4 linked regions of the Pelodiscus sinensis genome follow. The protein of the gene in region 4 purifies or fractionates together with the protein of the main gene of each other region. This does not show direct contact. Links are inferred from orthologs where the notes say so. Each region holds a gene or a part of one and is shown on either strand. Other genes may lie near its edges. The genes, in order: UBE2E3, SLC7A11, FOXM1 and OTUB1.

Region 1 (6,846 bases), on a different chromosome or scaffold from region 4:
AATAATATAACACTTTAGCTTCTTTTCTGAGGGATGCCCACACTACAAATGGTACCATTGCAGCGTGGCAAGTATACACTCTTACCACAGTGACAAAATAAGGGTATCTGTCAGTGCAGTAAATCGATCTCCTCAAGAAGAGGTAGCTAAGGAGATGGAGAAGTTCTCCTGCTGACCTAACAAAGTCACATGGTGCAGAAATTTTCACAGTCTGGCACCTGAGCAATGGAGCTAGGTTGACCCATTTCACTGATAGAGCAGGACTAATTTAAAGTATCTAACTTAGATACTATTATTTTGGAGCTCTATTTCTTTACAAGTACAAAATCAGTGGAAAATAGGTAGTATTTACTGTATGGCTAATGCTTTAACATTCAGGGAACTGGAATACCAACTCCTCTCTCAGGTCTTTATAAAAGTTTGAGCCATGCTGAATAAGCAAAACACATAGTTGTGCAGTAGAGAACTGACTCTAAAGTTAAAATATGTTTTTCCACTGTTACTTTTCAGATCTATTTGCTATTGGCTATAATGTAATATGTATTCCTAAAAAAAAAATGAATGTAAGGTTTAGCAAATTGTTTCATCTCAGAAGACCCTTGCATATGAAAGGATTAAAAGTCTGCCTGTTTCACATGGCTGAAGTTAAAAAAACGCTTCCGTGTATACCTACTGAAAGCCAGTCTAACATACATTGTAAATACAGACATTTTATCAAATAGACTACAAGAGGTTTGTGAAGCTTTTGACACTTAAATATAGAGGGGATATATTCATCTCCAGAGTGATTTTCCAGGCCCTAGTGAAGCAAATGTCCCACTGAAGTTGGTTATTTTTGCAGAATAACATGTTATATTAGGATGCATAAAGGATGTACTGTATGTTGGCATGCAAACAAAGTTATAAGTACAAACCCATCTATTTCTGTGCCAATAACATTTTTATAAATATTTTTATATTCAATAAAACTGATTGTGTGAACAGTACACACAATCTATCGAAATATACCCTAAGGATGGTACTCTACCAAGAAAGAAAAGGCTAATCTTTTGAACGCAGGTGGAAACGATGTTTCTAATTCTTATATTACTTGCAAGGATAAAATTCATATTGGTGAATAAAAGCTTTTAGAAGCCAGTATTTTCATTTTACAAGTTATAATGTTCTTAAGCATCTCTCCCAAAGAAATGTGAGAAGCTTATTTAAAGGTTAGCTTACTGACAGTATCATTATTGAAGCTATTGAATGAAAATCTCATAACTCAAAAAAGTTTGTAATTCAGTAAATGACTCCCTAACACAGCTTTCATCTGCATTAAAAATATAGTGCAAATATGTCTCTCAGTCACTCTTATAGTTATTACCTTTTAGCACTAGTAGATAACTTAGCAGTAGTTTTGCTGGATAGTTTGGTATTTTTCTTCTGCTGGGTTGCAGAAGGTTTCCTTTCTTCTTGTTCTTCAGGTTCTGGTGCTGGTGGGTCCCTTTGATCTGCATCTGAACTACCACTGCTGGTACTTGGACTTTCATCATCTGACCTTTGCCTATCACTGGACATCGTGGTGAACTTTGGGAAAGAGGGACAAAGGAAAAGGGGGTGGGAAGAATAGAAAAGCAGAGTTCACTTTAGGTTGCAGTTTGACAGTTACAAAGTAATATTTACACTTTTTAAATATAGAAAGCTCCAGTTTTTTAAAGCCCAGCTACATTTTTTCATACTTTAGACAATATATCAATTGTTTACTTTGTTCAAAGCCATGGGACAGGGGTTTTAGAAGGGTCCTGCAAGCAATGAACATTAATAACTTATGACACATTGTAAATAACAGACCTTGCTAAAAATGTTGTTTAAAAAGTCACTAATACCCTGCAAATATTTACACTGGAGCAGAGCATTTTATTAGGTCCGAGCAGCCAAATTACCCCCCTCTCTGAGACAATATATTGACAGTAACAACACTCCAACTGATTTCAGATTGAAATTTACACTCACTCTGTCGCTTTGTATTTAAAGGGCCGTGAGGAGGAGGTGTTTAAAAAACACTATACATTTAAAACAACCCAGAAAGCAGAAGCCTCGGTTATTTACATGACCAGCAGCAAGAATTGCATTTTGCTACCACAAAGCTGCTGGAGGGGGAAGAAGCATAATTAAAACTGCACCTTCTGCAAAGCTTTCAACGCCACCGATTCTTGATCAGTTTCTACAAAACACACCGACATTTTTAGGGGAAAAATATATAGACACACGCGGGAGGCACCCAAATTGGAGGAGGGGTGCTGAAAAAGAAAATGAAGCTCCTAGTAGGAAACTGCAGTAGGGTTGAAATGCAGCTTTGCACACACACTCGCCCCCGCCCCCCCTCCCCCCTGCTCGGGCTGGCTTTGTGGGGCGAGATCGAGCTCCCAGCGAGGAGGGTATGGAGGGGTTGTTATGGTAGGAGGCTCTCCAGGATCAGCATGGTATGTGTGCACCAAGTGAGGCGTGAACTCAGTCCCGGCTCCTCTCTCTCCCGGCCACCGACAGGCAGCAAGCGCTGAAAACAAGAACAAAGCTCCCTCTACCAACCTCCCCCCCCCCCCGCCTCCTCCTTCTCCTCCTCCCCCCACCAAGCTCGCCCAGGCTCCTGCTGCAGCCACCTAACCCGCTTCTCCTTTACCTTGCAGGCGTCCTGTCCCGGTGTTAGGTCGGAGGGGAGGGATGGAGGGGGGAAGGGAAGGGGATATGGTATCTGTGGAGGGGCTGGAGGAAGCCGGGGGGATATAAAGCAGCAGAGGAGGCTCTGTGGCCGGGCAGTGTGGAACATTGAGAGTCGGAGCAGGGGGGAGAGACGGGGGGAGGATGCAGTGCGGCTTGATGGCCTTAGGGTGGTGCTGGCGTGTCCCCTTTTTGCAAAGCGGGCTCCCACGGTGGGGCAGGGGGTAAGAGGAGAGAGAACGCGATCTTCCCCTCGGGGGAAGGGCGCCGGATGGAAGAGAAGAGCCGAGCGTTCTATCGCCTCCGCCCCCTTGTGTCGCTACGTTCGGATTCAGAATGTTGCAGTCAGCAAAGTTCCAAACGACATGAGGGCGGGGGGAGAGGGCGCTCGCTCCCTGACTGGTAACACCCCCCCGCCCCCCCGGCTGGGGCACGCGCACGCTCTCTCGCTCTTCTACCTTTGCAGGGTGCGTGCGTTCTCCCGTGCTGGCCAAGGACAAAGAGTTGGTCCCTGTGCACCCCCCAGGTTGGTCGCTTGGCCTTTGCTTGTGTCTTACTAGTGGCTGGTTTCTCTCCTGCCTCCCCCCTCCTCCCATACAAATACCTTTCTCGCAAGCTTGCAACTCTGGAGCAGTCACTACGGGAGGGGGAGCCTGAGATCCTGAAATTACTTCAGTGCCATGCACAAGTGTGCAAAAGCCTGCTGGGGCATAGCCAAAGCAAGGAAACTGATTTGAAAGTAGCTCTGCTTTTGCCCATTCTTTCTGTCTCTTCTTACTGCTGTCCATAAGGGTGGTCACTCAGGAGTAAATATACTTAATCTGGGCACTGGTCGTGGCTGAGTTGGGTTGTGAGTGCCTTAACATACAGCATAGCGATTATGAGTGAAAGTTGAATCCTGCCAGTTTTTGTCCCAGCACCAAATCCCACTCCTCAGTGGGTAACATGTTCAACCTTTCTTGCTGCACAAGCAAAATCTGGGCCCTCATTCATGTGCCCCAGCACAAGATCACCTCAAATATCCAGATCCTTCTGAACCTAGCCAATTTTTGGACCCCCAGGCCTGAAATTAAAAATGCATAAATAGAAAAGATGTTTAGCCACTCTTAAAATTCCAGATCTTGATGTCCGATAGAAACTGATCTGGCATGTAGATCAGTCTCAATTCTGACAAATAATGGCCACATACCCAGAATCTGTGCCATCAAAATAGACAAGAAGTGCTGCTACTATCTTACTATCACTAGTAATAATAATAATAATAAATAAATAATAACTAGGGGGCTGCTCCTTGTGTTTGCTTCACTTACCAAGCCCCTCTCAGTCCGCTTCCATGGCCCAAGAACGTGAGAGTGTGATAACATCATTCTGTCACCCGTCAGGAAAAACATTTTTAGAGAGATAGAAATGTAGCCGTTAGTCTGGTGTAGCTGAAACAAAAAACGGGACTATGTAGCACTTTAAAGACTAACAAGATGGTTTATTAGGTGATGAGCTTTCGTGGGCTAGACCCACTTCCTCAGATCAAATAGTGGAAGAAAATTGTCACAATCATATATACCAAAGGATACAATTTAAAAAAATAAAGACATATGAAAAGGACAAATCAAATTTCAGAACAGAACAGGGATGGGGAGGAGGGGGAAGGTGAATGTCTGTGAGCTAATGATATTAGAGGTGATAATTGGGGAAGCTATCTTTGTAATGGGTAAGATAATTAATGTCTTTGTTTAAACTTTAAACCAGGAGGCAACCAGACAACTCTCCAACACCACATTTTACAAACCTCTCTCCTCTGATCCCACCTCGGAATACCAAAAGAAACTACACTGTCTCCTTAAAAGCCTCCCTACAGCTACTCAGGAACAAATCCACACAGAAACACCTTCTGACCCCCGACCAGGATTGTTCTATTTGCTTCCCAAAATCCATAAAACCTGGATACTCCGGACATCCCATCATCTCAGGTATCGGCACACTCACTACTAGTTTATCCAGCTATGTAGACTCTCTTCTCAAACCCCACGCAACCAACACCCCCAGCTATCTCCGAGATACTACTGACTTCCTAAGGAAAATACAAAACATTGATAACCTCCCCAATAACACCATCCTTGCCACCATGGACGTAGAAGTTCTATACACCAACATCCCACATGAAGACAGATTACAAGCAATTAGAAATACTATCCCAGAGGACACCACTGCCAATCTGACAGCAGACCTATGTAACTCTGTTCTCACCCACAATTACTTCCATTTGGGAACAACTTATACCTCCAGATCAGCAGCACAGCCATGGGTACACGCATGGCCCCACAGTACGCTAATAACTTTGTGGCTGACTCAGAACAACATTTCCTCAACTCCCATCCCCTTTAACCCCTTCTCTACTTACGCTACATCGATGACATCTTTATGATCTGGACGCATGGCCAAGAAACACTGGAGACATTCCACAGAGATTTTAACAACCTACACTGCACCATCAATCTCAGCCTGGACCATTTTACAGAAGAGATCCATTTCCTGGACACCACAGTACAAATCACCAATGGAAAATTAGACACCACTTTCTACAGAAAACCCACCGACTCATACAGTTACTTACATGTCTCCAGCTCCCATCCAGAACACACCATACGATCCATTGTCTATAGCCAAGCCCTTCGATACAACCGCATCTGCTCTAATCCCACTGACAGAGACCAGAAACTTCAGGATCTCTACCAAGCATTTATAAACCTCAACTACCCACCTGGAAAAATAAAAAAGCAAATTGAAAGAGCGAGACGAATACCTAGAAACCATCTACTTCAAGACAGACCCAAGAAAACCAACAATAGAACACCACTTGTCATCACCTACAGCCCCCAACACATTATCAATGAGCTACAGCCTATACTGGAACAGGATACTAAACTCCAAGAGGCTCTGGGAGACAGACCCGTAGTCTCCTAGGGTATGTCTACACTACAACGTTAATTCAAACTAACAGCCGTAAGTTCAAATTAACTTTCATAAGCGCTACACAGGCAAATCGCTAGTTTGTACTTAATTCGAACTAGCGGAGTGCTTAATTCGAACTAGGTAAACCTCATTCTACGAGGACTAACACCTAGTTCGAATTTAGTTCAAATTAAGGGCTGTGTAGCCACTTAATTTGAACTAGTGGGAGGCTAGCCCTTCCGAGCTTGCCCTGGTGGCCACTCTGGGCACAACCAGGGAAACTTGTCTGCCACCCACCCGGCCCAGGAGCCCTTAAAAGGGCACGGTCTGGCTACGGTGCTCGTGCCAGTTGCAAGCCTGCCAGCACCCAGCCAGCAGCCCAGACCAAGAGGCGGGCGCCCGCCTGGTCTAGTGCAGAGATCGTGGACCTCATCCAGGTTTGGGGGGAGGCGTCCAACGTCCACGACCTCCGCATTAGGCACAGGAAAGTGGTTGTGTAGGGCAGGATAGCTGCCAGCCTGGCCACCCAGGAGCAGGTTTGCATGAAAATCATGGTCCAGTGAGACCCCCAACCCTGAGCCCTGAGCTTAGAACATAAGAACATAGGAATGGATGTACTGGGTCAGACCAAAGGTCCATCTAGTCCAGTAGCCTGTCTGCTGACAGCGACCAACACCAGCTACCCTGGAGGGGATGGACCGAAGACAATGACCAAGCCATTTGTCTTGTGCCATCCATCTCCAGCCTTCCACAAACAGAGGCCAGGGACACCATTTCTACCCCCCTGGCTAATAGCACTCCATGGACCCAACCTCCATGAATTTATCTAACTTCTCTTTAAACTCTGTTCTAGTTCTAGCCTTCACAGCCTCCTGCAGCAAGGAGTTCCACAGGTTGACTATTTTCTTTGAGAAGAAGAACTTTCTGTTATTAGTTTGAAGCCTGCTACCCATTCATTTCATTTGGTGTCCTCTAGTCCTTCTATTATGGGAACTAATGAAGAACATTTCTTTATGCACCCTCTCCACACCACTCATGATTTTATAGACCTCTATCCTATCCCCCCTCAGTCTCCTCTTTTCTAAGCTGAAAAGTCCCAGTCTCTTTAGCCTCTCTTCATATGGGACCTGTTCCAAACCCCTGATCATTTTAGTTGCCCTTTTCGGAACCCTTTCCAAGGCCAAAACATCTTTTCTGGGG
Region 2 (6,839 bases), on a different chromosome or scaffold from region 4:
TACACCCTCTTGAGCTGTGAATCCCATCACAGCTTGAAATGTAGATGTACCCCAATTCCAGTGACTAGGAAATACCATTGATTCAGTCTCTGCTGAGATTACAAGGGCCTAGACACTGTTTACTAGTGCTGAGGCATGTAGATGGAGCAATGTCAGGAAACGTGTAGTCAGGACTTCATGCTATTGGATGGTAAATGTGTTGTTTACAAAGCCTAGCAACCCACCCCCAAAATCAGGTTGTTCACTGCTTGCATGTTACTGCATTTCTTCCTCGCTCTGGGAAGCTTCTATATTTCCTTAAAAGAACAGCTGACTTCACATTTCCCTAGTAAGAGGAATCCTTCATTCTTCGATGTATTTATACAGGTTGAAATAAAAAGAAAACCAGTGTTTTGTTATTATTTTAGGAGGTCTGCTCCCTCAAAAAAAGTGATTTGGTCCACTGTGAAGGGACTGTAAGAGAAATCTACAACACCATGACAACCCCCAGAAAGCTCCCAGAGGCTGCCACATGCACAATATGCATTCTCAGCCTTTATGGAGCAAACAACAACTTGCACTAAATATCCTTAGCCATGTGCCATCCCTCCATTCTTTATATCTGTTGGCATGTTTAATAGGCCTTCACACATTTGAAAAGCCAACAGATTCTCAGTTCCATGTATGGACAGCATCAGTCAATGAGAGATTTATCAGCATTAACAAATACAGTCAACCTGTCCATTAGTGTGCACACAGTATTTAAGAAGCCTTTGGGAACCAATGGTAAAGTGATATGGTACATAGTATTATGAGTAGTAGTACATATGGAGTTATCAATTATGTGTTTCCTAATTAATTAATGTGAAAAAGAACAATATATATAGTACCTTAAATGTCCAGTGTGATGTGGTGACATGCATACATCTGATATAGCTATTGCAATGCAAAAAAAAATGCCACATTATATACAATTTCAGAGATGGATTTGTAATTTAAAGAGCTTCTGCTCTGTTCTTTTTCTAACAGCAGTGCATTCAAGCATATGTTTTAATGACAACTACTAGGCATATCTCATTTGGTAAACTTTTTTTCAGATTATTTAGGGTACCTGATAATCTATTTACAGTCACATTTAAGAAACCAATTGACAGATTTTTCTTTTCTTGCCAAGCACATCTGGACAGATGCAATACACAATCGCTTTGAGGTAACTACTGTATTGTTGCCATACATGTTTCACAGACACCTTTACTGATTAAACAGGTGATCTTTCCATAAGATTTTACCACAATATATAGTGTAGGAGAAGTCTCCATAATTTACTACATTTTAATGTCTAGCTCATAAAATGCATAACTAAATTAAATTATATAGTGCTATGTTGAGGCAAGTTCTATATTTAAATTTAATCTAAAGGCCAACGTCTCATAACTAGATTCCAAGTTATGTATCAGCTTTCACTTCAATTTTGGAAGAGGGTTTCAGTCTAAGGTGGAAACTCCAAAGTTCTACCATTTTTGGTGCATTGGCATAAAAAAAATAGTTCAGTTTCTGTTCAAAATTGATCTTTTATTCATCTATGTTTAGGGCCTTAATGTTCCTTCTTAACAGATGATGCCTCTTAAGTCCACAGAGAGTTTACACAGGATCACATTTACAGGGCTTAAGCCCTGTTTTACTCAGTAATTGCCATCAAGACCACCTGCCAGGAAACAAGGAGTCTGCCAGAAAAAATGGCAGTAATCAAAACCCCTCAGTATGTGTTAACTGCAAAGGTCCATAACTTTTTGTGACATGTTTTTCCATAGAGATATCGTGAGTTGGCGAATAAAGTGAAAAAAGAATAACTAAGTTCTTTCTCACTTACTCACTTGCTTGCTAATAAAAAATTTATCCAGCAGGAATTATTCAATTCAGAGCTTACTCTAGTCAGTGGGGTACTGGATCAAGCTATCTATACATTTCACAGGTGTTCAGACTGACTGGCCCACATCCCCAACTGCCAGCACCTTGCAAGAATGTTGTAAACTGGCCGTTACGGCTGGAACAAAAAGTCATAAATAAAACAAAGGATTGTTCCTTCTCCCGTTACTGAAAGAAACATTATTTCATCTTATAATAGTTATAAAAAGGTACAACAGGGTATTGTCTCACATTGCTTGTAAAGATATAAGACTGAATGCGCAGTTCTATATGCCATTTACAGACACTATTAAGTAACAAACCATATCTGTAGCCTTATTGGTCCTCATATATCAGATTGGTCTGTGATATTCAATAGCAGGGGGAAAAATTCACCAGCTGCCCCCCAGGATCAATTATAAACTTTCACCAACTTACCAAACATGGAAAGGACACCACACACTGTCCAGACAATCAAGGACATTCCCACACTGCCTGTGTTCTTTAGTATCCCTTTGGGAGAGATGAAGATTCCTGCTCCAATGATAGTGCCAATTATAATGGAAACCCCTCTTAAAAAAGTTACTTTCTTCTTCAGCACCACTTTTTCTTCCTGGGATGGCTTTTTACTGTCCAGAGAGGGCAACCTGCCAATAGATTGCCCCTGCAAATAGCTTCCATTAGAGACTGTGGAGAGAGCAGGTTTCCTGAACATGCTATAATGCCACCAACACAATTAAAAACAAAATAAAAAAGTTTCTAGCTAGCACCCAAGGTTTCTTCCTGGATCTTTGTGCTCTCTTTCTAATTGCTTTCACTCTTTCTCCTTTTTGTTACTTTTCAAGCTGCTGCTGCACCCAGGTATAACACTCTGAAGGTGTATTTTAAAATTCCCTGCTGTATAAATACTACTTAGTAACACCTGTCCTTTCACGTTGTTAGCTGGTGCTGCTCTCTCATTGGAAACCAGCTCAGCTTCCGCATGGACTTGTATTTAAGCTCCTGTCATACTAAGTTAGTCCTGCTGAATGATGATGCAAATTCTCCAGGTTTGCATCAGCCACAAGAAAAGGCTCTGGCATTACTCAGCATTTTCAGATGGTAACAGCATGTTGCACAACTGATTTGAGCTTCTTAGGAAGAACAAAGCTCTCACTTGAAAGGAAGCTTAACGAATCAGAAGGTAGTATATTACTGTCAACACCTCCCCCCCCCCCAGATATATTTAAAGCAACTTGTAGTTTGACACAAAAGCCTGTTTTTAAAACACAAAGATCTTTAGCCAGAAGGAAAAGAAAATCAAACAGAATGCGTCACATTTGGTTCTATTCCAATTTTTTTCCGACTCCTTTTAAGCTAACAAAGGTTTTGTGAGTTTCAACTTTTATTTCTGAGTTCTTTAGTTTTCCCCAAATCTATCCATTACATGTAAATTTACATCAAGACTACATACCTTTACATAAAGATTACATATAAGCCATTTGCTATCTTGTGTTGCCTAGCAACAGCCAAATCAGACTAGTAAAAATCCACTGTACAGTAATTCTCACATGTAACAGAGTTTCTGGGATGTTTGTAAGAAACTCAAAAATGAAAATACTCCTTCAAGCCAGGTAAGCCCTCTTGTTAACAATCACAGCAAATTCTTTCAAGATATGAGAGCAAGAGGTCTGCATTTCAGAGCACTGATTTGTCATGTAATAATGTCTCAAAGCAGAAACGTTATCTGATTTTCATGTCACCATAGTGTCTTCCTGAGTGGATTAACTAATCTGTGCTTAGATGAATTACTTGATTGCTAACTCAGCTACATCGCTTTTTTATATTTTGATTTAAAATCAAGTAACAATTTAAAAAAATCAGCTTCCACTAAAAAATCAGTAGTTCTTGAGCACTTACAACCTCATCTTGGGACAGCCGGTACAGTATATGCCACAGGAAAAAAAAATCCTATGTAGCAAAACTATCACAGCTGCTCATGGCTTTGGGGTCAATCAGCATAATGAGAAGTAGTTATTGCCTTGCATGTTCCTTTTGCAGTTATTGCTTCATTAGCTCTGAATAAGAGGAAAAAGATACTAGCTAAACGTTTTGTCATTTCAGAAGGCGGCACTGAGCTCTAAGCACAACTTCTGTGCTTTTAAGTGTATCTCAGACACAGTAAATATTAGAGCATCATAGCAGTGATGTTTATGGTGCTGCAGTAAAAGCTGAGTCAATGTTTTTAAAACCTCATATTTTCAGGGGTTATGACTTGCCTATAATAATTTGCAGAGTGATAAAACTAGGCATAAAAAGCCTGGCTGTTTTTAACATACAGAGAAACAAACAAAAATAGTTTTTTAGCATTGGATATATATTTGTAATGCTATAATATTTTTAAAGGGCTTATTCCTTCCTTCACACCCCTCCATCATGTATTCAACAGCAACTCATTTTATTTCTCTTCTGTTTTATACTTCTCATCAGCACATCACTGGGTAAGAGAATATTGCTTTCTATTAATGCATGAGGTAGAGGAATTCCTACAGAATAATTCATTATGGTCCCTCTACTAGCCATACATGCAACTCTACCAGCAATTGAAGCAAGTGACTTGAACTACAAGCCAAGCCAGATCAAAGAACTAGCCACTAACCTGTGCTGGCTTGAATACTTAAATTTAAAGGGGCTGTATACTGAACAATCACAAGGAGAGCTGGTCAGGAAATATTTAACAAAATGATTTTCAGCCAGAGCATATCATTTTACCAAAACTGAAACTTTCCTAGGGAATGTGTCAGTTTCAATGACACTTTTGTGAAGAATTGGTTTCCCAAGTCCAAAGTGGAATGTCTGGTCTAAATGAGAGAGAGAAAAAGCAGCCTAGAATAGCTAAGAGTCTGATGACTGGGAAAGTCACCTAAGATGTGGAAGACCTAGGCTACATCTACTCTGCAGCTCTTTCCGGGTATACTGGAGGTATTCCAGAAAAGCTATGCCGCGTCTAAGCAACGTATCAGCTTTTAAAAAAAAAAAATCGGAAAAGCCAACACGTTCTTTCACCATCCCTATAAACCTCATTGTATGAGAAAGAAGGGATGTGCTGAAAGAGGAGGTTTTTCCAAAATCTGGCACGTGTAGATGCGCTAAATTTCAGAAAAGCCTCTTCCAAAAGAAAAACAAACCCCTGCCAAAGAAGCATTACACTGAAAATGTATTGAACAAAAATCAACTATAAATGTTGCATGTATTTGGCATGTCATTTCATGCAGTGTACGAAAGGGTGCTAAATTCTGGGCTTTTATAGTAACAACAACCTCGTGTAGGTACACATACTTCAGACTGGCCAATCAGACTGATTGGTTTAGATTTATTTTTAATTAAGCGTTCTGGTGCTTTTCTATTTTTCTTTTCCAAATCCTTCACTTTTGAAGACTTTCCAGTAACAGCATTTATAACTTTTATTAGATTCTGAGTTTCCCAAATGCTTATATCAGCATTTTGGGGTTATTAGAGCCAGAGAGATTTAGAGTAATTTATGGGATGAAAGTCAGCAAGTATGGCACACAGCCAGCCCCAGAGTAGAGGAGTATTTGAAGGAGTCTTAAAATCATGTTTCCATGCCTTCCCTGTCCAGTATATTCCTTAGCTGCAGCTGAGACTCTCCGACACTCTGTTCTTATATGTCCATACCTCACCTGCTACATTTTGAGGGCTCTTGTAATATAAACAATAACTAACAACAGCACCTCAGTGAGGACACAGAAGGTGAAGTTTGATTTTGAGTCTCTAAATTGGTCCAAGAAACAACCTGAGGGAATCAGGACAAGGCAGTGTTTCTTTGTCAATTTCGTTCACATACTTCCCAAATTGTAGAGTCCAAATTTCATTTTATATTTTTTTTTACACAATAACAAGATAGAGATGTCTCTTACTGCCCTGACTCTTGCCAGTTACATGATCTATAATTGAAGGAAGTACTTTTATATCATACTTCTGTCTCACTATCTGTACCGGCCTAGTGCATGTCCTAGGGAGGTCATATCTACTGGCATCCTGCAGGGGTCAATGCTGGGTTTGGTACTGTTCAATATCTTCATTAATTACCTTAATAATGGAATGGAGAATATGCTTATAAAATTTGCAGATGATACCAAATTGTACTTTGTAGGGCAGGATTAGAATTCAAAATGGCCTAGACAAATTGGAGAATCAGTCTGGGAGCAAGATGAAGTTCAGTAAAACAAGTGTAAATACTACAAGTGTAAAATACTTCCCTTTAGGAAGGAAAAAACAAATGCTCAACTGCAAATGTGGAATAATTGATAATACTACAAAAAAGGATCAGGGGATATAGTGGTTTACAAAATGGGTATGAACCAACAATGTGATGTAATTTAAAAAAAGACTAATATTATTCTGAGGTGCATTAACAGGAGTGTCAGAAGAAAGATATGGAAGGTAACCATCCTGTTCTACTCAGCACTAGTGAGACCTTTGGGCAGTACTATGTTCCGTTCTGGGAACTGCATGAGAAGAAAGATGTGGTCAAATTGGACAGAATCAAAATGATAAAAGGTTAAAAAACCTAACCTATGAAGAAAGATTTAAAAAATTGGGTAAGTTCAGCCTCATAAGCATTTCAACTCATACATAATACACATCTTTAAGAATATCTAAAAATCCTGAAATGTGAATCAAGTACTACTGTTGGACACCAATTTTTCTGGAAGTCTGGGTACTGCAAACTTCTTTTTCTAAATGTCCATGCCATGTACTCATACTGGGGCCACTATATGCCTATAAATAGTTCATGGTTCACCACCCCTCTGACGCCTCCTGCTGGACATTCTGGGAATTAGCTCCATCATTCTTTGGGATGGCCCCAGTTGGTGGTGCTTCACCACTGTCTCCCCCCACTGTCTTCACTGCCTCCACTATCTTGGCCCATGGCATTACTGAACCACAGAGTC
Region 3 (6,984 bases), on a different chromosome or scaffold from region 4:
CATTATGGGTCACATAGGCTTTTGTGGGCTAGCCTGGGCACCTAACCACCATTCAGAATATTGTTTCTGTGGGAAAATGCACTCTGAGTTTCAAATAACCAACTTACAAACTTTTCAAACACAACCCTTTCATAAGCTGGGGACTTTCTGTATACCAAAATCCTGACCTGTAACATACCTTACCAACTCTCAGAAAAACCCCAGGCCCTAAAATCACTGACTTTTACTTGGACTCAGGATTTGAACACCTATCAGCGTACATATAAACCTAATATATTAATCACCTGGGTTGCTTGAAATTTCACATTTTCACCACTGCGCTCTCCTATATCAAGCAGAGCATCAATCCCCCATCTCTACCCACTCCACATTGTGCTGAAGAGTTCAACAGAAGGGTACAGCCTACGTACTGTTTCCTTCCTGTTCTTGTCCTTCCATGGAATTGACTTGTGGATGCCACAGTACCGGCCTTTCCATAATCCCAGGGTTTTGTCCAATGTTCTTCTCTCCATCCTGACAATCTGCTGCTGTGGCTCCCTTTGTTGCTGTGCTTGTCTCATCATTTGATTGGAGCTTCTGCTGAGTTGCTGGTGAGCCTGTGGGGAGTGAGTTGCCCCCACTGCTGATGAGAATGAACTTGTTGGGCCCATTGCTGCCACATTCTTTCCCTTTGGCTGTCAGAGCCTCGATGATACTCTGAATGTCAGCATCGGGAGGGATGACTACCACCTGGGTGTTTGTCATGGTAGGGTGATTAATGATCTTTATTCCTGCTGGGAATTTCTGGGTGCTACCCTCCACTCTGTCCCTGGATTTGTCCTCTCTGACCTGCTCATGCTTGGGGGCTCCTTTACTTTGCCCATCTGGTTCATCTCTCGCTGGGGTGTTGGATGAATTGCGATTTGGGAGGGACAGTTTTCGTCTCTTGAGAATCAGAGGCCTGCGAGGGCTGGTCCTCATGATTGATCTGTACAGTCACTCGCCATTGAAGACTGCAAGAACAGACCCTGCAAAATATAAGAACATGAAAGAGGAGCTGTAAGCATGGAACGTACAGGAATGGAATGAATTATCTCTATGCAAGGTACCAAATCAGCTGATGTATGAGGGGTACAGTGGTAATCCTAAAAGAGGAAGATTCCTCACCATCTGTCTTGTGACTAGAGGACAATCCCTATGCCCATAGGGAAGAATTGCATGCCACATCCATTGAAGGGAAAGGTTCCTCCTTATTTATTGATACACATCTTGTGAAAACTCCATACAGATGAGGAGCACTAATTGCATGATAACTGAATATCTCAGATCACACCCGTGAGGTTAGTGTTATCATATTTGTTTTATAGAAACACCATAAACTCAGAGCTTGAAATAGATTTGTTAGAAGCCAAGCACTTCCTTTCTTAGCACTGTGTAACTCAATTCACCATCATCTAATGTCAGAATAAATTTCTTAATCTGGACTTTATGGATGGTAAACAATTTTAAAGTTTAGAACTAGGGGAATCAATGACAAAACCAGAAATAGGGATGTGGAGATAGGATAATTGTTGCATTTATGGGAGTTGTGGCAAGTGGTACTTTGCTCTTGCACAAGAAATCTTCAGTGGATCTACAGTGCTTGCATTATACAGATAACGTATGGGAGACTAAGAATTAACCAAAATGGAGAGGATTTCACATCATTGGAGCGGATTAGGGGTATTAAATATCAGTTAATTGAATAGTCGATTAACCTCATGAATTCTTATTGGTTACTTGACTATTCTATAGTCCCTAGGGGTGGGGCTGGCAACCAGTGCGCTCCAGCCCTACTCCAGAAGAACCTCCTGACACTCTGTGCTGCTGCCTGTGTATAAGAGACAGCAGCGTAGGGTACCAGGCAGGAGCTGGCCCGTGAGGGGAGCCAGTTTAAAAAACAGCTCCCCTCACAAACTGGCTGCCTGTCACCCCACAGCGTTGGGTGGCAGCAGCTCCTGTCCGGAAGGAGAGGGGTCCGAGTTCCTGGACCTGGCGTGAACCAGAACTGAGCCAGGTTAGCTGCCCACTTGGCTCTTAATACACTTTAAATGTAGAGCCACAGCAGGGGTAGATCCTTGATCTGGCACAAGGCAGGACGTAGGCTACTGGCCAGCCTGCTAAAAAATTTATTGGCAAGTGTTGGGGAGTGGGGGAGGGGGGGGGGAGGATGCGTGTAGTCTGTAGCATTAACAGACAAGCTTTTGCTTATCGGTTAATAGACTACACTATTACATCTTTAGAGCCAATCCAGCCTGTTAGTAACAAAACATCCTCAGAACCGATAATTTGTAGGGCCCTGCAAATCCACAGATATCTGCTTTCTATCCTCGGATATCCGCTTCCACAGATATGGTTGTGGATATCTGCTGCTCATTTTTACAGCTATGGATCCGTATTTTGTATCCGTGCAGTACCCTAGTCATTTGTACGGTCATAAAAGGGTACAAACAAAACTGACAGAAAAATAAACTAGCCCCCTTCCTAAGTGATAGAGGCAAGTGACACATCCAACCCTGGCCTCTGGAAGGAGGCGGCTTCACGGGACGCCCTGCAGCCACTGACAAAGGCCTCGCTGCATCCTGGCTGCGGGTGGTAGCTCTGCGCTGTCACACACACGCTGGGAATTCTCACCTGCTCTTTCCCCTGGCCCCAGCCCCTTCCCCCATCCATCTCCCCACAGGCTCTCCGGCTCCTAGAGCCCCCAGCCCGTGTTTTCACCCCTTCGCCCTGCCCCCCATGGCCCGCCGGTGCCCACCGACCCCCTTTCCCTTCCTAGTGGCCCCTATCAGTCTCCCCGCCCCGGCCCCGCTCCCGCAGCAAGGCCCCTCCCAGCCCGCTCTCACCCCGGTGTCGGTGGGGGCAGGGGGTCGCGCGCCCCGCTGCCTCCCCGCGGGGACCCGGCACCGCCGGGCTCCGCAGCTCTCAGGGCACAGAGGCAGTTCGTTTCGTTTCCCGGTTTGAATTTGGCGCCTGGCGGCCCGTTGGCATCACGTGCGAGGGCGGGACCAATGGAGATGAGGCCTGGGGCCAGAGCGTTCCATCCGGCAACGGAAGTGGCCAATGAGCGCCCGCGCCCGGCGGTGCTCGCACACGCCTGACCCCTGGCAGGAGCTGGGATCAGACCCGAGGCCGGTTCAACCCCCCCACCCGGCTCCCTGCGCGGAGCAGCGTCCGCGGGGGCGGGGGCGCGGCCGTAGGAGGCGGCGGCGGCGGCGTTTGTCTCGGGGCTCTGCCCCCGCTCTCAAACGGTGGCCCCTGAGCGCCTTTGCCGCTGCCCTCCCCGCCGCACCTGCTCTGTGCTCCTGGGCCTGCCGCCCGCCCCGCCGCTGCAGCTTGGAGCAACCGGCCAGCCAGTGATGGCGGAGTAGCCGCCGTGTGCGAGAGACAGCCAGCCCCGGAGCAGCCGGGCGGGCGGCGTGTGCGTTCAGCTGCCGGGCTGTGCGCGAGAGAAAAGTGCCCAGGAGTTACTGGATGCCTGGGGTAGGGCATAGCGAGAGCACCGCGTATGTGTGTGTACACGCCTGTAGATAAGTAGAGCAGCGGACCCCAAACTTAGCAGGGTCGTTACCTCCTCCTCCCCTGTCTGCACCCTCCAGCTGGTGCGGCTGTGTGGACTAGGTAACCGGAAAGGGCCACGGCTAGGGATGGTGGAGCAGCATTATGTCAGTTCCACCTTGCTGATGTCGTTTAGTGAGGATCTTCCCAGGAGCAAGACATGACTGGATATACTCAATAGGGAGGACACCCCAAAAACCCAAGACCATGGGGAGAGGCACCCACTACAGACTATATCTTGTGTAACACCAAGAAAGCTCTGATTGTGTCCCTAATGGGAGTATGGCTGAGTGGATGTATATAAAAATGTATATTTCCATTTTTTATTAGACTTTTTTGGAGGCAGATCAGAAGTGTGTTCTATGTAGGAAAAAACAGTTGCTAGGTTTGACGACTTGACATCCCTCTGTTGCTTTCTGCAGATTTGGGTACAGTTTGTCATCTCTTTCCTCTTCTCCCTAACTGGCTCCACCAGGCATCATGAGGTTTCATAGCGACTTTCTTACCCTTTTTGATGCCTCCAAAGAAGAAATGCATCCACCAGGCTCACAAGACACAACTGCGATTCCTTGAAACTCCAATAGAGGGGCCTACACATCACTATGGATCTCCATTGCCTTTGGCTGAGAACCCAAGACGTGTTTCTACCAAACCTCTTGACCAAAATGCTTCCGTCTCATGGGTAGGTGCAGGTTTGTTTTCCTTAGTTTCTTATAGTAAGTGTTCTCAGCCTTCTTATGCATATCTTAATAAAGAATTGTTTGGAGTGGATCTTGGACATGGATTACACACACACTCCCCCCCCCCCCCCCGCCTGGTTACAGTGTTACAGTTGCTTCAGATCCCAATCTAGCAGTCACAAGCAGCCTGAGATGTATTTTAAATTAGCGCACTCACATCTAAATGGGAAATGGTGGCCACTGGCAGAGTTCCCTGTCTTGGGAACTAGCATGGTGGCATGAAAAGGTTGGGATCCATATGAGATGGGGATTCTTTTTGGCTTTTATGATAACTGAAAACCTTGGAAATGGATAGTAGAATAGTTACTGTTTAGTTACTCTTTATTGGATTTGATATTTAAACTACAGCAATTATTTCAAACTGTTTGGTATAACTCTCAACTCTCCAGCACTTAAATGTGACAACTTCCTGCTCAACTATGATACAGAAATAGAGTCTGCATCTTAATTGTGGTTCTCTTATTTAATATTCATGTATTAATAATCTCAATTTTGTAAGTTTGCCTATCTATGGTCACCCCCCAATGGAGTTAAATGTGGGTTAAAATGGATGTTATATCTTGTAATGTATATAGTTAAAAGGTGGAATACTTGATGTAAAATGATGAGGCCTACTTCCACAGATGCAGTGTGATAAGGAGCAGGTGTCTTCCCTTAGTTAAGCTTGTTGGTGAGAAATGCAGTTTCAAAAAGCCAGTGTATTGCTTGGAAACAAACAAGTATATGCCTGAGGTCAGTGGGAGTCTGTTGGAAGATCAAGCCTAAGGAGTGGATGTGTTTGTTTTCAGAGGCTTTAGCAGAACTACATAGACTACAAACCAAGAATCAACAGCAAGAAAAATGGTACTACTGAGAGAGTTGTATTTTCTAAAAAAATTTAAAATTGTGTTCACTTTTCACTGCTCATGTACTTTATTGATGTCTTGCATTTCATTCCTGATTGGACAATGCTGGTCAGTTTTACTGTTACACTTCATTTAGGTCAGTGCTCTTTTTGTGTGTGTGGTGGGGGGGGGAGTTGTCAACACCCCAATGAGCTCTTTAAAGAAACATGTTTTCATTGATAACAAATCTCAACTATTTGTTTTTCTGTTACATATTGTTAATGTAATATTACTTGGTTTCAATCAAAAGAAAATGTTGGGCCTGAAGTAAACCAGCAAATAGATCATCTCTTCTGGAAAGCAGGGTGATAATGCAGGCTACAAGCAGACACTATGGCGAAGATATCCAGGCAGCAGATTTTTGAAGCAGTTTTCTATGTACTTTAACCCTGCCCTCCTTTTCATTTTTGTGTGTGTTAAATCTTCTGCTTTTCCTAACACAACTCTTCCAATAGACTCAAATCTTGTTGAGAGGACTGCTAAGTTTCTTTTCACTCAGTCCTAGGATACTTTATTATGATATGCACATTTGCTTAAAAAATCTTGTAATTGTTCTGTAGGAGCTACCTGTCTTTGCAGAAGCCATTACCAGGCAGCTCTGTTAAATAACAACACTTAGGTCTCAAAGCTTTATAACAAAGCAGCCCTAAAAGATTTCAAACTTTAATGAGGAGTCCTGTGGTACCTTAAATGCTAACAGATTTATTTGGGCATCTTGTTCATTTGCAGCTGACAAAGTGGTTTTTACCCATGAAAGCTTATGCCCAAATAAATCTGTTGGTAAGGTGCCACAGGACACCACCTTGTTTTTGCAGATACAGCCTAACATGGCTACCCCTTTAAAACTCATATGAAACACTCCACCAGCCCCAGAGATCTAGATTTCTCTGTTTGATTTTAAATTTATTTTTGTATTTTTAATAGAGCATTTTAAACTCCATGAGTAAAACAGTTCCTGAGAGAAGACAGAATCCATTTCCATCTGGAACGATGGAAAATTTCCCAATGTAGACAAGGACTTATTTGGATTAGAGATGTTAAATGAAGATTAATTGGCTAATCAAATAGTCAATGCAAATTGCATCGACTATTCGATTAGTTGCTTAGGGCACCTCTGCCTTTGCTACACTTCAAAGGTGAAAGTGCTGTGGGGAGCTCAGGGCCAGCAGGGGACTCAAGTAGTCCCATGTTGGGCCTGTGCTTCCTGCGACGTTTCAAAGCGTCAGCGCCACAGGGAGCCCAGGCTCAGCGGGGGAGTTTCCTGCTGGCCCCAGTCTACACATGGCATTCCAAAGTGGCAGTGCTGCATGGAGCGCAGGGTCTGGTTCCGGGCTCCATATGGTGCTGCCACTTTGAAGCACCCCCACCTCTTTCCCCTCCCCTTGCTGCCTCTTTCTGATAGAGGCAGCAGAGGGCTTGAGGGAGGGGGGGCAACTTGTCAACTAGTCGTTCACATCCCTAATTAGGATATGCCTGAGAAATAGTCTGTTAATAACTAGTGTCAATTACAGGGTTAACTGCAATTCTGGGCTCCTCCTGGTCTCTTTGGGTACACTGCTACTCAGGTCTTAAACCTCAGCCTATCACCTCTCTTGAGATGGAATGGAGATGGAAGAATTTTCCCTTAGACTGGTCCCTGGATAGCCACTCTCTGTAACCTTGGATCTGACTTGCATTCAGTACTTGCAGTTTTTCTCCTTCTGGGGATCAGTGTCAGTGGTATCCAGTGATCAAGTAGCATTTTAAAATTATTATTATGAACAAAAGCATTTCAGAGAAAATAG
Region 4 (6,846 bases):
AATCAGACATCAAAAATAGTAACAAACATAAACCTGTAGGGGATTATTTTACCTCCCCTGGACATTCAATAAAGGATTTAAAAGTTGCCATCCTTCTAGAAAAGAATTGTATTACCTGATTGCAGAGGGAGACAGCTGAACTTGGGAGTTCATTTACAAATTCAACACTGTCAACGTAGGCTTGAATAAAGATCTTAACTGGCTAACATCCCACAAAGGCAACTTCCCTGCTTTTGATATTTGCCTCTCCACATCAAATGCTGTGAATGAGACACATCCATCCTGACTTCATTCATTAACATTGGTCCTTCAATTGACAGGTAACATCTTTTGCTGTTATATATACCCCAGATTCTGAAATTTCCACTCCAACTCATCTGATGAAGCGGATTTTACCCTAATAAATGTGTTAGAGTATGTCTACCCAGCAACACTATTTCAAAATAACTTCGTCTGCGTCTACACAGCAGGCAGTTATTTCAAAATAATGTTGAAATACAGTCAAGCTGGAGGGCTTCTTACTCCCGACTCCTGTAACCCGCATTGTACGAGGAGTAAGGGAAGTCAGAGGAAGAGGGCTCTATTCAGAAATAAGTGCTGTGTAGAAACTCTCAATTTCAAAATAAGCTATGCAATTGAAGTAGCTCAATTTGCATAGCTTATTTTGAGTTAAGTCCTGCACCCTTAGTCTCTAAGATGCCACAGTACTACTTGTTGTTTTTAAAGTTACAGACTAACACAGCTATCCCACTGAGACTTTCTACAAGAGTCTTCCCCAGAGCAGATCCAGGCAGACCACGGCCCTTTTTTAATCAACAGAACCACCTGGAAGAAATTCCAGAACTTTTCCTACTGATGTGAACCAAGCAGACTCTACTGGGGACAGCTCAACCAAAATAGTTTTTATGTTGTAACAAAGAATTTAAACTGTGTCTACTGATAACATTCTAGGGGAAGAGACTGCAATTAAGAGGGGAAAGGGTAAGTCTGGTTTTTTCCCCCAAGGCATCCCAAATGCCCCTTGTTATTCAGAGCAACTTTTTCTAACAGTCCCCCCCCCCCCCCCCACCTTTAAACAAATAATACATTATTTATTGCTCTCAGGTAAGGATAACCCAAGCAAGGTTTTAAGCCAAACCATCTGGGATGCTTGATGGGAGTGGGGGAATGTGGAGTGCTGAGCTTCAGGGAGGTAGGGAAGTAACTGGACAGTACTAGGAGCTGTGTTAAGAGGCAGGCACACCAATGGGAGATTTAGGACTCCCTTGCCACACATGATTTGGTTTGAAGGTTCTTTTCCTCACCCACCCACACCAAGTTTCCTAAGCCTCATCACATGGTAATAAGAGACATGCAATAGAGGGAATGTCTTCGGGGGCCAGGCCAGGATCCTGCTTCCCATGGAAGTCAGGGCTGGGCTGGGCATGATCCCTGCCAATGGGAGGTGGAGTGGGCTGACATGAACTGCAGGAAGGTTGGAATGCAGGGGCCAAGACTCTAGATCTCAAGGCACAGATGGTGGAATCTTATCCCCGATAGAAATGGTGGTAGAGAGAGCGATCCAGTCCCTGAGAGGAGCTGCAGTGGGTGGGATGCCTACAGCCAGTGAATGAGCAGAGTGGGTGGGAATTCTCATTGCCAGGTTTGGAGGGGGGCACATCTTCGAATGCAATGGCACAGGGCAGCCTATGGCATGGGTTATAAAGAGATTGGGGAATCCTGTATCATATGGGCAACCACAACTCTAGGCCTCAAGGCACAGATGGGGCTGGATCCTGCCTCAAGAGGGTAGAGTGGGTTGACTGCTACCATTGCAGGAGCAGGGCAGAACTGGTTGATGCACAGTGCAGGAGGAGGAGCAGTAGGCCTTAGAGCACTTCCTGGAGAATCCTGCCTTTGGGGTGTGAAGGAATCCCTGTATACTTGGAAAAAGAAGGAAGTTGGGGTAACCTTTTCCATGGGGATTATGGGAGGGGGGGAAATCAGGTATGGGGAGGCGGAATTTGCTGATTGTGCATGGGGTCAGAGAGCAGCTTCCAGAAAAGGAGAAAGATCTTGTGTGCTGGGGGGTTGCCTGAGATTTGGGGTGAGGAGAGGACTTTCCTGGAGGGATTGGGAGGAGGCAGATCCTTTGTGTGTGTGAAGGCAAGGGGAGGAATTGCCTTTGATGAAAGCTGGAAACGGTGGGAGGAGGAGGGTGCAGTTCCTAAAGAGAAGGCAAGGCAACTGTCTCCTATGGTGGAGAAGCATGTCTGGGATTTGGGAAGAAATCTTTTCTCTGGACTTTGGAGAGAGGGGAGCAGCTCCTTGCGAAGAGGCGGGGGTGAGGGGGGGGTCTTGACCCTTGGGGAAAGGCTGGGGGGGGATGTGGGTCCTACAGAAAAGAGGGAGCGGAGGGTAGGTGAGTGAGTCAAGGGAAGAAATCTTCTCTCTAAAACCCGGGGGAGCCAGTTCTGGGAAGGGGTGACCTGGGGCAGGAGTTTCCTATGGAGATGCTAGCAGCAGCAGGAAGGCAGAACCAGGGAAGGAGTTTCGTGTAGGGGGCTGGGCGCTGGATTCGGGGCGAACCTTGTCTGTGGAGGTTGAGGGGGGAGGGGTCCTGACCCGGGGGAGGGGAAGCCAGGCCTGGGGAGGGACAGAGCCTGTCAGGAGGCGGCGGATCGGGCGGGGGGTTCTCTCCGAGGGGGTCCCCGCGCCGTCCTGCCCCGCCCTCTGTTCCAGGGCAAGGCCGCTCTCGGCCGGGGGCCCTTGTCCCGGCCCGCGGGGGGCGGCAGAGCCTTCCCTCGGGCTGGGGTCGGGGGTATTGCCGGGGTCGGGGCCGCCCCTCTCCCCTCAGTGCGTTTTGGGGGGCTCCCCGGCCGCCCCTCCCCCCATTACCATCCGTGTCCCCCCCCAGCGGCTCCGGCTTCTGCAGAGGGTCCTCCGCCGCCATCTTGGAGCTGCAGCCCGCACCCAGCAAGCGCTTCCGGGGCACATCGGGTCTACGACGGAAGCGCTTCCTCCCAGCAACTGCCACTAAACCCTTCCCCCACGTAGCAGCACAAGCCCAGGCTAGGCCACTGGTGGGGATGGAAGGAGGGGTGGGCGAGCCATGGGAACAGTATGACACCCCATGCAACGTAGGCATGTGTGGTGATGTCATTGTGTTACATCATAGCATCCCACTCAAGCCTCTCTTCTGTTGCTATGACACCATAGCGACCTCATGCAACCTATCATTGATGTGCCATTGTGATGTCATCACATAACCTCAGGGGCCTCACATCAATCCACCATCGCCTGTCGCTATGAACCCTCCAGTGTCACCACAGCAGCTTCATATCCACCCTATCAGCATGTCACATTCCAAGGACACCCTCCAGTGACATCACAATAGCTTTGCATCACCCCCATTCTTGTGCCCTTGTCATATAATCACATGACATCATAAAGGACCTTATGACAACATACCTTCATGCCATTAAAGCAACCTTGCAACAAAACACCATAACTGCATTCTTATAACATCATCATTCAACATTGCAATAGCCTAATACACCTTCCACAGGCTGTGTTGCTATAACCTCATGTGGCACCACACCACTTTGCATTTACCACCATTAGCATAGCACTTTGCTAGGATGTCATCATGTGATATCATGGCAGTCTATTGTCAACCCACCATCACATCATTATGCAACATCACAACAGGCTCTCTTGACCTGACTGTCACATCTCACTGTGAGGTTATTGCATGTTATGAGATCATGGGTTCACCCAGCCTCGGCTCCTGCTTCATTATGACATTGTATCTTTCTTCCATCAGCCCATCATTCCAGCACTGAATGATACACCTTCAGCCTCGCTAGGGCAATGGATCAGCATTCTCATCATGCCACCCACCAATACCTGCCAATTGTCAGGGAAGCTAATGGTCCAAGCAGTAAGCCAAATTCCATAAACGCTCACTCAAAGAACACCGGCACTATAATCACCAACAACCCCAATGTTCAGCCGGGTGATTTCTATGTCATTGGACCAGCTCTATGCATGTTACAACTCAAAGTGGAGGGTTTATCAGTTGCCAAATATGATTTACTCAGCATTATTGCTCATTGATGTACTATTGACATAATTTGCTTGCAAGAGACACAATAGCAACGGCCAAAGCTGGGTGTTACAGTTTTGATGCCTGCAACCTGTTGTGCCACATGACTCCACCCGAAATATGGCTGAACCACACACATTGGCTACATCTAGACTGACATGATTTTCCGGAAATGCTTTTAATGGAAAAGTTTTCCGTTAAAAGCATTTTCAGAAAAGAGCATCTAGATTGGCACGGACGCTTTTCCACAAAAGCACTTTTTGTGGAAAAGCGTCCATGGCCAATCTAGACACGCTTTTGCGCAAAAAAGCCTCGATCGCCATTTTCACGATTGGGGCTTTTTTGCACAAAACAAATCTCAGCTGTCTACACTGGCCCTTTTGCGCAAAAGGGACTTTTGCCCAAATGGGAGCAGCATGGTATTTCCGCAAAAAGCACTGATTTCTTACAGTAGGAAGTCAGTGCTTTTGCGGAAATTCAAGCGGCCAGTGTAGACAGCTGGCAAGTTTTTCCGGAAAAGCATCTGATTTTCTGGAAAAACTGGCCAGTCTAGACACAGCCATTCAGTCTGACACTGCAGATGCCATTTAGCTGATGTCCACTAATTCTTTGACACCATCCAGGCTGCAATTTCTGGCTGGCAAATATTTACAAGCAGCCAAGTGTCAACAGGAACCAACAGATTCTATCAAGTCTGCCACATCCAGCTGTCTATATCAGAGATTTCTACAGCCATCACACAGACTGGGGGTATAAGGAGATTGACACTAATGGTAGACAACTTGCAAATGGTCTGGCTAGATCACCAGGCTTTAAGGGTGGAAAAGTTGAATAAATGCCTTGATGCATCTTTAGTATCTATGGTGCATTAATTGATTTTTTTTAAAGTAAGGAAACTTGTGCCTATTTTATGTAAATTAAGATAGTTAAACATAGCATTTATCTTCTGCATAGTAAAGTTTCAAGGCTCTATTAAGTCAATGTTCAGTTGTAAACTTTTAAAAGAACCATCTTAACATTCATAGTTATGAACAATTTCCATTCCCACTGTTTGTGTAACTAAGTTTCTACTGCATAAGATCATACTATATATTTTAGAAATGTGCATCTGTCCATCCATCCAAGAACTCCTCCTAAATGGTAGAAAATTCGGTTGTAGTTTATATGTAGCTTTCTCTTAACTGAAAGCAAGGTCATGATTTGGTTGTGCCATGATAGCGGGATGTGCATTGAATTAGATCTTTTCCATTTTATGAGAAACAGGGGGGGGGGGTCTGGTGGGAGGGAACTATACTGTACTACAGAATGACTACAAGGAGGCAGCAAGGAGCCAGAGAGGGAGACTGGGACATCTATAACCCCATTATGTCAGCAGGGGGCAGAGGTGGAAAAAGGGACAACTATTGATAGACAAACACTATAGCAGTCCCCTATGGGAGGGGGGGAAGACATGCACCCCTCCCCCACTTGTGCCTGCTTCAGCTGCCATCAACAAGCATTTTCCACCTGGCCCCAAGTTGCTGCTGTGAGAAGGCTGTGTTATCCTCTCTTCCCAGGGCATACTGAACCCCTCATTTCTACCTCCACTCCAGAGCAATGATTAACTGAAGGGGGGGTGGGGGGAAGAGAACACTTAGAGTTAAGTACCCAAGCAACAACGGATAAACCATAAGACAAAGGGAAGCTCTTCAACAATATAATTTAACTATTTCCTAAACAAAAATTCCATTTTTTTTGTTCCAAATGAGGTTAAAAGGAAGTTTTAGTCAGCTCAACATCTCTTCCCATGGAGACACTCACTTCGGCTAAGTCTACACTACATGCTTCTTGCGCAAGAAGCTTTTTGTGCAAAAATGTCTGGTGCAAGAGCACGTCCACACCTCAAAGCACATCACAAAAGCGATGTGCTTTTGCGCAAGAGAGCATCCACATTGCATGGACGCTCTTGTGCAAGAAAACTCTGAATGGCCATCAGAGCACCTGTGCTTTTTCCCCATAGGGGCTTCTTGCATCCACCCTTGCCTTTTTGCGCAATAGCTGTAGTGCAAAAAGGAATTATGCCTCATAGAATGAGGTTTACCTACGCCAGAAAAAGCCCTCTTCTGCTGTTTTACTGTTGATTTACTTGTGCAAAAGCTTATTTGAGGTGTGGACGCTCCACAGGTTTTTGTGCAAAAACCTTGCAGTGTAGACAGCCTTAGACTGATCAAGTCACCTCTTGGCCCCCCCCTTTCAGAAGATAATACACCACAGCTTCTCCAGTTCCTCAACACAATTTCCACCACCATGTTGGACCTTTATTAAAGACTTTTATTAAGAATTCAGTACAGGTCACATAAAACATGGTTTTGCAAAGATTTCAGGTACAGAGATATAAAAGCTAGAAGGGAGCAACACTGACAGTTTTGGAAGGCTGTAGCTCTGAACCAAATAGATACATTTAGCTCCACAGCTGTTTCAGAGGTTACAGCTTGTATGCAACTGGGAGGCTAAGAACAGCTCTGGAAACTTCTGAATGCAGACAGGATGGGATCTCTTCTGATAAGCATTTGGGAAGGAAAGATCAGCAAGGACAGAGGGAGCAAGGGATACAGGCCAGGGCCACAACTTGTTCACTCTGCAGCGAGAGAAGATGAATCCGGGGCAGGGCATGACCACTTGGATAGTCTCTTCCACACACTGGCCTGCAGTGCTAGAGACAAAAGGAATAATTACACCATCAGGGCATCAGTTCAGCCAGCACCAAGCCCAACTTAGCC

What was found.
Region 1: the proteins of OTUB1 (region 4) and UBE2E3 purify together in Homo sapiens (affinity purification with mass spectrometry; 3 studies listed by BioGRID and IntAct, counting the BioPlex papers as one, with this or other methods). This does not show direct contact. The link is inferred for Pelodiscus sinensis from reciprocal best matches to the Homo sapiens genes OTUB1 and UBE2E3.
Region 2: the proteins of OTUB1 (region 4) and SLC7A11 purify together in Homo sapiens (affinity purification with western blotting; 5 studies listed by BioGRID, with this or other methods). This does not show direct contact. The link is inferred for Pelodiscus sinensis from reciprocal best matches to the Homo sapiens genes OTUB1 and SLC7A11.
Region 3: the proteins of OTUB1 (region 4) and FOXM1 purify together in Homo sapiens (affinity purification with western blotting; 4 studies listed by BioGRID, with this or other methods). This does not show direct contact. The link is inferred for Pelodiscus sinensis from reciprocal best matches to the Homo sapiens genes OTUB1 and FOXM1.

The regions. Positions count from the first base shown.
Region 1 is NC_134717.1:48,106,381-48,113,226, reverse strand, and holds the start of UBE2E3 (ubiquitin-conjugating enzyme E2 E3), read right to left. Parts: upstream 3,002-6,846; 5' UTR 2,807-3,001; coding exon 2,660-2,806; intron 2,534-2,659; exon of another isoform or gene 2,223-2,533; coding exon of another isoform or gene 2,163-2,222; intron 2,138-2,162; exon of another isoform or gene 1,993-2,137; intron 1,567-1,992; coding exon 1,364-1,566; intron 1-1,363. UniProt on the Homo sapiens protein: Accepts ubiquitin from the E1 complex and catalyzes its covalent attachment to other proteins. In vitro catalyzes 'Lys-11'- and 'Lys-48'-, as well as 'Lys-63'-linked polyubiquitination.
Region 2 is NC_134715.1:44,988,756-44,995,594, reverse strand, and holds the start of SLC7A11 (cystine/glutamate transporter), read right to left. Parts: upstream 3,023-6,839; 5' UTR 2,600-3,022; coding exon 2,323-2,599; intron 1-2,322. UniProt on the Homo sapiens protein: Heterodimer with SLC3A2, that functions as an antiporter by mediating the exchange of extracellular anionic L-cystine and intracellular L-glutamate across the cellular plasma membrane.
Region 3 is NC_134711.1:125,752,446-125,759,429, forward strand, and holds the start of FOXM1 (forkhead box protein M1), read right to left. Parts: upstream 3,022-6,984; 5' UTR 2,865-3,021; intron 1,008-2,864; 5' UTR 961-1,007; coding exon 411-960; intron 1-410. Other genes in the region: RHNO1 (RAD9, HUS1, RAD1-interacting nuclear orphan protein 1), read left to right, coding at 4,091-4,258. UniProt on the Homo sapiens protein: Transcription factor regulating the expression of cell cycle genes essential for DNA replication and mitosis. Plays a role in the control of cell proliferation. Also plays a role in DNA break repair, participating in the DNA damage checkpoint response.
Region 4 is NC_134721.1:33,697,379-33,704,224, forward strand, and holds the start of OTUB1 (ubiquitin thioesterase OTUB1), read right to left. Parts: upstream 3,022-6,846; 5' UTR 2,933-3,021; coding exon 2,878-2,932; intron 1-2,877. UniProt on the Homo sapiens protein: Hydrolase that can specifically remove 'Lys-48'-linked conjugated ubiquitin from proteins and plays an important regulatory role at the level of protein turnover by preventing degradation.